Caenorhabditis elegans: one gene and its partner. The protein of the gene in region 2 purifies or fractionates together with the protein of the main gene of each other region. This does not show direct contact. Each region holds a gene or a part of one and is shown on either strand. Other genes may lie near its edges.

Region 1 (6,078 bases), on a different chromosome or scaffold from region 2:
GCTTATTTCACAGTTTCACCCATTTTCAGTGATTTTTAATAAACAATTTGCATTTATCATGTATTTTTCTCTCTTTTTCCGTTAAAAATACACAAAGAATGAAGAAAATCAGTGAGATAATGAGAAAATATAATAAATTAATAAAAATAATGCAAGTGCGCTCCACCGAACGAATTCAATTGGCGGAAATTCAAATATGATTTGGAGGAAAACTGAGATTTTTCCAATTTCCAAAAAATCATATAAAATCAGGGAAATTTTTTTGAATTTTTTAATCATGATATTCGGTCATTGTGGTACCATAGGCGTGTTTTAAAGCAATTTCGCCACTGAGCGTGGTCCACCTTTAAATCCTGAAAAATTGGAATTTTCAGCCATAAAATGACGATAAAAGCGTTTTTTTAAATTACTTTTACAAAAAAAAATTATAAATTATTTTTGAACTCCCGCGCAAAAAAATCGACAAAAAATTTTACACCGAAAATCAGCATTTCCCAGGCTACTTTTTCGAATAAAAAACACTGTTTCTAGAAGAAAAATTCTGAAATTGATGGATTTTATTACCGGAACACATAATCCTGAGAATGCGTATTGCACAACATATTTGACGCGCAAAATATCTCGTAGCGAAAACTACAGTAATTCTTTATATGACTACTGTAGCGTTGGTGTCGATTTACGGGCTCGATTTTCAAAATGAATTTATTTTTCGAATAGTGACAGCGATTTTCCTTTTTTTTTTCGTATTATTCTCTCATGTTTTGCTTAAAAAAACGAGCTCGTAAATCGACACAACAGCGCTACAGTAGTCATTTAAAGAATTACTGTAGTTTTCGCGACGAGATATTTTGCGCGTCAAATATGTTGTGCAATACGCATTCTAAGAATTATGTGTTCCCGTAATAAAATCCATCAATTTCAGAGTTTTTCTTACAGAAAAAAGTGTTTTTTTAATCGAAAAAGTAGCAAAATAGTGAATTTAAGAAATTTTAGGGGAACTTTTTATTCGTTTTTTAATTTTTTTTTAATAAAAAAAATTCAATGTGGAAGTTTCGGAGGCTGCTTTTTACTTGAAATGTAGATTTTTCAACGGAAAAACTGAAATTTTTCGTTTTTCATTTTTTATTTTCAATTTATTTTTAACTGAAAAATTGCAACTTTCACTTGAAATTCATCATTTCCTTGTTTTTTTTTCAATTCTCAAGAAATCCTAAAAATTTCTGAAAAATAATTTATTTTAAAGTTTCATTTTGTTCGATTTTGAAGATAAAATCTTCAAAATTTCATTTAAATAATTAAAAAATGCTCGGAGGTTTTTGGAGTTTTCTATTAAAAATTTCAATTTCTGGCTTGATATTGTCCTTTTTTGTCAGAAATGTTTGCTGCTTCGGAGCTAACATGAAAAACTAATTTTTTTACACAAAATCCTGCATTTTCAAGCTAAAAATGCTCATTTTTGAGCTCCATAAGCCTATACCATTCGTCGAGTGTAGCCGGTAGCGGAGCCTGTGCCGCAATAAATTCAGTTTTTCCACCAGGCAATTGAATTAGTGAAGCGTTCATATATCCTTCGGGGTTTTCACTGTCTTTTTGGATTTCCACACGATTTTTGTCATCTGAAATGGCGAAATTTGTGCTTAAAAATTGGAAAAAAACGGATTTTTTTTATTTCAAATTTTAGAGTTAATTAAAATGGGTATAGCGTCGTCAAAATTCGAAAATTTTTGAGAAATTTCATCAAATTTGGTCAATTTTTTTATTAAACAAAAAAAAAATCAGTGAAAACGTCAATAAAAACGTATTTAATTGCATTAAAAAATTTTTTCAGAAAAAAATTGCGGATTTTTTGCTAAAAATGGCCAGAAGGCTTCAAATTTCGTGAATTTTGAATATTTTTGCAATCTGAAATATTTTTTTTTGGTCAAATTTAAAGAAATTCTCGATTTTTCTGAAATGGGAGGCAGATAGCTCAGTCGGTAGTGGTGGCCGCTAGCAGTCTGGAGGTCACGAGTTCAAGTCCGGCCTCACCCCTAGGTTCACCCAGCCTCTATTGGGAAGTGGAGCAATCCACGACTGGATTATCGGCCACAGTCCCCGGCTAAGACGTGGCTTAAATTACAGCCCAGAGGGATCACCACCAGGCAATGTACCTGAATCCCAGATCCGCAGTGCAAAGCACTTGAAGAACGGATCGTCCTTTAATCCTTTTTTTTAAAAAAACACACAGTTTTATGCGATTTTTCCCAAAAAAAAAGTGTCAAAATTCTCGCTTTTCCTGCTTGAAAATGACGCTATACCACACTTTTTGGCGAAAAATTCGATGAAAATCAAAAATTTACACGGCAAAATGTCGCGATATCGATTTCGAGCATAATGTTGCGGTGCGACGGCACACTCTGACCGATATTCGGCTTCCATTCGCAGTTTTTCCTGTTCCACTCGGATTTGCTGAAAAAAAATCGATTTTTGTGGGTTTTTATCAGGTGGAAAATGGGGGAAAACTGGCTGAAATCGACCCTAAAATCACCAAAAATCAAGTGAAAATTGCTTAAAATCTATTTAAGTCGTTGAAAATGGTGCAAAATTTGGCGAAAAAGTGCAAAAAATCGACAGAATTCGTCGAAACTGTCAAAATTCCATTAAAATGAGGTTAAATATTCGAGAAATTCGCTAAAAATGCTTGAAAACCTATAAAAATTAACAAAACTGTCTATTCTCGGCAAAAAAAGTAGAAAATTGCCATAATTTAACGGAAAAAAATGAGGAAAATCGTTAAAATTAGACAAAAATTGCCGGAAATTCTCGAAATTGGCTATATTTCTAGGGAAAAAGTCATGAATAAATCGAAATCTGCGAAAAATTTCCAGAATTTTGGCAGTATTCGCTATAAATAGTTTTTTTGTTGAGAAACTCGTCAAAAATCGGAGAAAAATTGTGTGGAAACCAGTGAAAATGACCAAATTTTGGCGAAAAGTGTCAAAAATCTGTGATTTTCGTTTTGAAAAAAGTTTCGACCGAAAATTGACAGAATTTGGCTCGAAAATCGCTAAAATTCGACCAAACTTTGGCTAATTATCGTCGAAAATCGTAGAATTTCGCTGGATATTCCCTAAATTCGACCAAAATCCGTACATAAAATCTGCGCAAATAGTCCTGCGGCGTGTAGGCCTCCTCTTCCTTCAGAAATTCGCGCAAAAGCCCATCCATCGCCGGATTTTTCTCGAAAATCACAGGATTTCCGTTGGGAACTGTCGTCGCCGCCCGCTCCTCCTCACTTTCGAACTGAATTAGATCGCCGGTGGGTACTACTGAAAATTCGTGTTTTTTAGCCTAAATTTTCGCTATTTTCGAACCATTTGGAGTATCTTTGACTACTGGATTCGATGTAGGCAGTGGCGGCGGTGGGCTTTTTGGCTTTTGTTCCTGAATTTCCTGAAAAAAAACCAAATTTTATGGGTGAAATCGGGTGAAAAACGAACTGGAGGGCCGCCATCGTTCCAGACGGATGCCGATGTGTCATCTGACATTCGTTGTGTGTTTCGTTACCTGAAAAACGCGAAAAATTGGCTTGCAATTCAAGTTTTTCAGTGAAAAATTTGAAAAAATCGGTAAAAATCCGGGATTTCCAGTAAATTCTCTGAAAATCGCAGCTTTATTTTGGAAATTTAGACAAAATTTAGATTTTTTCGGCTGAGAAATGAAGAAATAATTTAAATTCAAGGAAAATATTAATTTTAGGCGGGAAAAAGGGAAAAATAGGCCAAATTTGAACTCAATGGTTTTTTCAAGGCAACACACGAATAACGAATAATACAAGCAATTTTTGCGTTAAAATTATATTTTTAGGCATAAAATATTCGATATATCCCTATAAATTAGGTTATTATGATGAATTTGCGAAATTCTAGTGAAAATTCGTTTTTAGTCTGGATTATACGGCAAAACACGGATTTTGGGCCTAAATTTGGGCGAAATTCAGCCTAAAAATCGAAATTTCTGCGTGAAAATTTGCGAAATTCGCTCAGAACTGAATAAAAAAGTAGCGGCCCGCGGGTGAGTCATTGTGTGAATTGCGATGGGGGGGGGGGGGAGAAAAATGCAAACGCGCTCCGTTGCAGCGGCGCGAATTTGAAAACTAGGCGCCGGGGATGTGAAGGTCAATTTTTGGGGTTTGTTTTGCGGTTAAGTTTTGAAGTTTGGCAAAATTGTTTTCAAAATTAAAAAAAAATCGAAGGCAACGACGCTCCGATATTCCGCCAGAACAGTGTATGCGCCTTTAAAGTGAGGTTACTGTAGTTTTTGATTTTTGCCGTGTTTTTTTAGAGTTTTAATAAGAAATCGAGAATTTTCACCAATTAATTTGCGGGAAACTTGTTTATTTTTCAAAAAATCTCTCAAAGAATTCGTTTTTCGTTCATTAAAATGAAATTTTTATGCAAAATTCTAATAATTCTGTAATAATCGTTTCGGGACCCAAGTGTAAATTTAATTCCATGCGCCTTTAATTTTTTAAAATCGAAGATTTTTTTGTTGTCTTTTTCGGAGATTTTTAGCTTCAAATTATTGGTTTTTAGAGGAATTTCGGAAGGTTTTTTCGTGAAAAACAAAGTTTTTTCAAATTTTTTACTAGAAACTGTTGAAAATTTCAACAATTTTTTTGCAGAAAAGGAGGCAGGAATCCCCTGAAATTAAAGTCTAAAAGAAAGCCGGAAGTACAACAAAATCAGAAGACTAGGCTCTCTAATGCTCTCGCCACTCTCATAAAACTAAACTCGAGGCGGCGAGCGATTCCTGGAATTCGTTCGTGCTTTTTTTGTTGCTGCAGTCACGTTTTTCGTGAATAAACCAAACTCGCGTACTTCTAGTGGAAAAATTAGTAAAAAAACTGAATTTTTCCAGAAAATATACTTAAAAACTGAACAAAAAATTCAAAATCAAGAATTTTAGCAAAAAAAAACCGAAAAACCTTCTCGGGGAGTACACGAGCCGCGAGGTTTGGTTTCTGGGGTGTTTATGCCTAAAAAGTGACTCAATCGATGAAAAAAAACTTTTTTTTTTTTTGAAAAAGTTTGAAAAAAAAACTGAATAAATAAACATTTCTGGGTGAAAAGAAGAAAAAGAAGAGAGATAGAGGTGAAAAAAATGACGTCCGCCGCCGCCGCCGCAAACACCGTCACATTAATTTGCACATAGACATTTACTGTCACTCTCGCGCCGCGTCCCCGATTCCTCGTGTCACCGCGGCGCAGCGCCCCCTACACACAGTTTTTTGTCTCTGAGTCTCTCGTGTTTTTGTGCACTCTCGCTCTCTCCGCTGTGAGCTCTAATCTGATTGCGGCGACGGTGGGAAAATGGGTGGCCAGGGAGAGATGTGTGGAAGATTGATCGGAAAATTCCGATTTTCTAGTAGTTAGAGGAATTTCTTGAGAATATACTTTAAAAATTAGAATAATTTTCCGAAAAATTTTTTTTTTCTCTATGAAAAATGAGCGAAAACTCGTTTGTTTTGGTAAAAATCGGCTTAAAATTCCGAAATGTATTGCGACTTTAAAGGCGCATGGATTTATTTCCCCGTTGGGTCTCGAAGCGATCCAAGCAATTTTGATGCGAAATTTAAATTTTTAGCTGGAAAATGACCGGAAGACTTGAAAGTTCCGGCTGGTAATTGATTAAAATTGAATTTTAGTGAATATTTTCTCAAAAACCCCGGGTTTTGAACGACTTAAAAATAAAAAAAATTAGCGGAAAAAATCACTTTTTAAACAAAAAATCGATTTTTTGTAGGCAAACAACCTAAAAATTAAATTTTTGTTGAAAAACTCCACTATTTTGGGCAAAAAATACGACTTACGAAATGAAAAATCAGCAGTTTTCTGCCACAAAATGACGTTAGAAATGACTATACGTGTACTAAAAATCGATTTTCTTATCAGAACTACTAACAAAAAAGGTATGCGACACGCGATGTTTCTCGCAGCTCGGCGGCGGCGCGGGGAAATAATAACATGAAATATTTTATATGAAATCATTTAAAGCATATTTTTAACTGCATTTTCCAGAAATTTCTGCGGAAAAAAA
Region 2 (4,780 bases):
GAGTGGATTGCATTGGCTGAATGATGAGATCATCAATTTCTATCTTCAATTGATTTGTGATCGGAGCAATGGCGATTCGAAATATCCAAAGATCTATGCATTCAACACATTCTTTTATTCCAATATTGTTTCAAAAGGATACGCGAGTGTGAAACGATGGACAAGAAAAGTCGATATCTTTGCATTCGACATCGTTTTGGTGCCAGTTCATCTTGGAATGCATTGGTGTATGGCTGTTATCGATATGGGCGAAAAGAAGATTGAGTTTTATGACTCTCTTTATGATGGAAATACAGCCGTTTTGCCAGCATTGCGGTTAGTTTTTTGAGTGTTTTTGGTTTTTATTTAAAAAACTCACAGAGAATATATCAATAAATATTTTATATTTCAGAGGTTACTTGGAAGCTGAATCATTGGATAAGAAAAAGACAGCAATGAACTTTTCTGGATGGACAATTCAACAGATGACGGTATATTGAATTTTAAAAAAATTAAATAAAAAAAAGGATTTTTACTTTAAATTTATTTCTGAAAAAAAGTTTTTTTTTAGAAGTCCAGATGTTTGGCTCAATCACTCTTTTTTTGATATCTATGCTCTCTAAAACAACCAGTAATACTTCTGAAATTACACACACAAAAAGATCTTCAACACGCGATAATCATCTTGTTTAGGACATTCCTCGTCAACAAAATGGCAGTGACTGTGGAGTATTCTCATGCCAATTCGGTGAATGGGCATCTCGACGAACGACGCCTCGCTTCACGCAGAAAAATATGCCATACTACAGAAAGCGAATGGTTTACGAGATTGTTTCGAAGAAGTTACTCGCAACTATTTGATTCTAGAAGATTAAAAGTGTCATAATTCATAGTTTTGTTTCCGGAAAAGTAGCTGTAAAATGTATTTTCTTCTCATTGGGCATAATTAAAACTTATATTTTGTCGGTGTCGTAAGCCCGAATCATCTAGAAAGTCTTTAATTTTCTGTATTTCGAATTAACCATATTTCCCATTTTCGTAGCATTTCTTCATTATCCAAAATATCGTTGTGATTCTCATCACTAATTATAACTTTTGATTTCATTTCATACCGTGTAAAGAATGTTCATACAAAAGATTAAAGATGATCGACGGTGTCAGATCACATCACATTATCACTTGTCACGTGGTCATTCTCAGATGACGTTGTTTTGTTTCAAAAGGTGATGCAAACTTTCCCATCCCGTTTTTAAGATTTTTTTGTCTCTGTGGATCTCTGGCCTTTTTTCTCTTTTCTCTTTTTCATTCTTCCTTTTATCCGAGTTTTATTTGATTTTTGACGTATTTATTAACAATTTTCTCTCCCTTCCACCTTTCAATTCCCAGTTCAATAATATCAATCAGCTTTCTCTGTTATATCAATATATTTCACTCCCGATCCCCGTCACCATTGCAAGTTGCAATAAATACAATTTCTTCACTTTTTTTTCGTTGAAATTTATTTTTTTTTCTTCTTGGTTTTATTTTCAACCTCATGGTTATATATTTTGAAGTTTATACAGATTCAATGTTTTATTTTCTAAACAGAGGAAATTTAAATCCTCCTTTATTGTGCTCATCGTGATCACAAAGTCACAAAAAATTTAACTTCCCAAAACCAAAAGAAATTGTCGTTTTGTTTTCCTCCTCACGACTCAAAAGTTAAATTTTTTGTTTTTTGGTCCGAAAAACCAACAAAACCAGCTATTTAGCAAACAAGAAAAAATGATCGTGATCTAAATTTTCTGGAAATTTTCAAAACCATTTCTTCCAATTTTTGTTATTTCAGAAAATAAAATAGATAGAAATATGCATGAAAGCGGTGAACCTACAACTGCAACGGGTGATGCTTCAGCCAATCATTTTAAAGATGGAATTATCGATTTATTGGCTGGAACAGCTGGTGGAATTGCCAACGTGTATGCTGGACAACCATTAGATACAGTTAAAGTAAAAGTACAAACATTCCCGAATCTCTATTCAAATTGGATTGTTTGTCTCAAGGATACTTATAAATTGGACGGAATTCGAGGACTTTACGCTGGTTTGTTATTTTTGTTTCGAAAATTTTGAGCTTAGTCTGGATTTCTGAATCTAAAAAAAGAAAAACAATCCTTTGTACTGAACACGTTCCATGCAACTATAAAAAAGAGTACTTCTTGAAGTAAAAATTCTCACCCTTTCTGGGAAGAACAATATAACGTGTTTTCAAAAAAAACCTTTTTTTGCAAAAGTTTCAGATTCTTTTTAAATAAAATACAATTTCTAAAAAGCTTCCAGAAAGCTCAGCAATTTTTTTGAACGTTTTATTTCAAATAACGTAGTTTTGATTTGGAAGTCGAGATGAAATCGAAAAAATCTTGAAAAATTAAATGTAACTTGATTTCTAAAATTCATATTTTTCAACATCCAGGAACTCTCCCAGCTCTAGCTGCAAATGTTGCTGAAAATGCAGTTCTCTTCACTGCCTATGGTTACTGCCAAAAAACAATTGCCACACTGAATGGACTCGAAGATGTCAGACAAATGACACCATTGGAAAATGCATTCTCCGGATCTCTTGCCGCAGTTTTTGCAGCTACCGTACTCTGTCCAACAGAACTTGTCAAATGTAAACTTCAAGCAGCTCGTGAAATGAAGAAGAAGTGTACACCATTCTCTGTTTGTCGGGATATCATGAAGGATACTGGTGTCCGTGGATTCTTTGTTGGAATGACTCCGACTCTTGCAAGAGAGGTTCCTGGTTATTTCTTCTTCTTTGGAGCCTACGAAACATGCCGTTTCTTATTGACTGATGAAGGACAGAAAAAGGAAGAAATTGGACTTGTGAAGACAGCAATGGCTGGATCAGTTGGTGGTATGGCATTATGGACATCCATTTATCCAGCAGATGTCGTTAAATCGAGAATGCAAGTCACCGGAGGAGGAACTTTTATGTCTACTTTGGGCGCTGTCGTTAAAGAGAATGGTAAGTCATTATTGAGGGATAATTAATTCAATTTCTTATAAAAATTCAATTTTACAGGAATTCGTGGACTCTACAAAGGACTTCTACCAACCAATCTAAGAACTTGCTTCGCTTCTGGATGTCTTTTCGTCGCTTATGAAGAGACACGAAAGTTCTTCCACTACGTCCTCTAGATTATATTAATCTCTGCCTAGTAAATTTTTCAATTTTTCCTCATTTTTTCTTTCCATCACACAAATATCATCATGCTATGAGAGCTTTCTTCGTTGTTTCTCTTAATGTTTTTTTTCGGTTTCTAACGGTTACTCTGAGATTGCCATAGGCTCACTTACGCCCGGTTGTTGTTTTCTAAATTTTTTAATAAAAATTGTTTTTTTTTGTTATATTTAACCTTCAAAAATCCTAAATGTAATGAACATTTGTTCATAGTCACTTATTTATCTGCTTCTAACACTGGCCAATGCTTCTAATGATCTACAACTTTCTAAAGTCAAAAATCTTCCAGTTCATGTTCTCTAGTTGCTGGTTAAAAAGCAGCGTCCGATACTCGCGGTTAATAAGACAATTTTCATCGGAAAATTCATTTTTCAAGGTGAGAACAGATATCAAATTAGGTAGTGAGATTGAGGTCTCATCACGAATAGCTGGGCAAATCCTGTTTCTTTTTACACTCGCGCATGATCTCGTTGTCCATGCGGAAGTGAATCTTGTCGTCAGTATATCGGACTGAAGACACAATCGGCTAAATTGTTTTTCCTTTTTCTGTGAGAATTTATTATTTTCTGAAAGTTAAAAAATTTTAATACCTTTTTTAGAAGCTTAAAACAAAAATTTCAAACTTTGATGTAAATATCATTAATAAAAATGGTGTGAAATTGTTATTGTTGATCCGCAATTTAGCGGAAACGGTGTGCATGTACAAACAAATTCAAACATGATGAAATCTGACAGCCTTGCATTTCATTTTCTTTGTGTTGAATTTCGCAATGTTTTTTTCCTGAAAACTTCGCTAGATTTCGCTGGTTCTCCAGTAATTATATGAAAAGGGTTTGAAAGTTTTAATGCTTTTTGAAAATTTTAATGCTAATACCATTATGCTTAATTTGCTTTTTTAAATGAAAACTTTCACGTCCCTCTTGGATTTGTCTCTCTGCCGTCTACAATCTCTTTCTCGTGTTGATAGGGCGCGCTTGCATTTTTACAATTTTTCTTAATTTATTTCTGAAAAAAAAACTAAATACTTTCTTTCTTTCCGAAATGCTTAATTCATATCTCCTGAATTTTGTTTTCTAATAGAGATTTAGAAGCCGCTAATAAACTTTTAATAAATGTTGTTTTGCTTGCATTTATTACGGTGCGAAAGATGATATAATAGGCCGAGTTAGTGAATATTACTTGAAATCTCCACATAAATACAACTTGTCGCGAATATGCAGAATACCGCCGATCACGACTTTAGAAATGATATTGATAACAAGGAAATGCGTTAAGTAAATATTAAAGAATTAGTATAAATATTACGAAGTCTGTCCGTTTTTTAAATGCTCACGACAATCTACCGAAGTCATCAACGACGACAAAGCCAAGAAACTCCTGTTTGAAAGCCGCGCCAAAAGACACACACTACACGAGTTTTACAGTACTACAATACCTGCACATCAAACCCCAACACTTCTTGGTTTTACCCTCGGACGATCGGACCGGCAGGTCGCATATTAAAATCTATGAGCTTTCCAATTTTATTCGTTAACCAGATTTATCAGTAATAAATTATATGATTCTACCACTTTTGAA

What was found. Proteins that work in one complex are often made in the same cells at the same time.
Region 1: the proteins of T10F2.2 (region 2) and ptpn-22 fractionate together in Caenorhabditis elegans (co-fractionation; one large-scale study listed by BioGRID). This does not show direct contact.

Annotation. Positions count from the first base shown.
Region 1 is NC_003282.8:1,734,339-1,740,416, forward strand, and holds the start of ptpn-22 (Protein-tyrosine-phosphatase), read right to left. Parts: upstream 3,547-6,078; 5' UTR 3,528-3,546; coding exon 3,480-3,527; intron 3,433-3,479; coding exon 3,354-3,432; intron 3,309-3,353; coding exon 3,133-3,308; intron 2,449-3,132; coding exon 2,340-2,448; intron 1,617-2,339; coding exon 1,478-1,616; intron 1-1,477.
Region 2 is NC_003281.10:5,162,339-5,167,118, reverse strand, and holds T10F2.2 (Mitochondrial ornithine transporter 1), read left to right. Parts: upstream 1-1,807; 5' UTR 1,808-1,827; coding exon 1,828-2,062; intron 2,063-2,431; coding exon 2,432-2,986; intron 2,987-3,043; coding exon 3,044-3,159; 3' UTR 3,160-3,360; downstream 3,361-4,780. Other genes in the region: ulp-1 (Sentrin-specific protease), read left to right, coding at 1-315, 392-470, 673-840; gars-1 (Glycine--tRNA ligase), read left to right, coding at 3,495-3,578.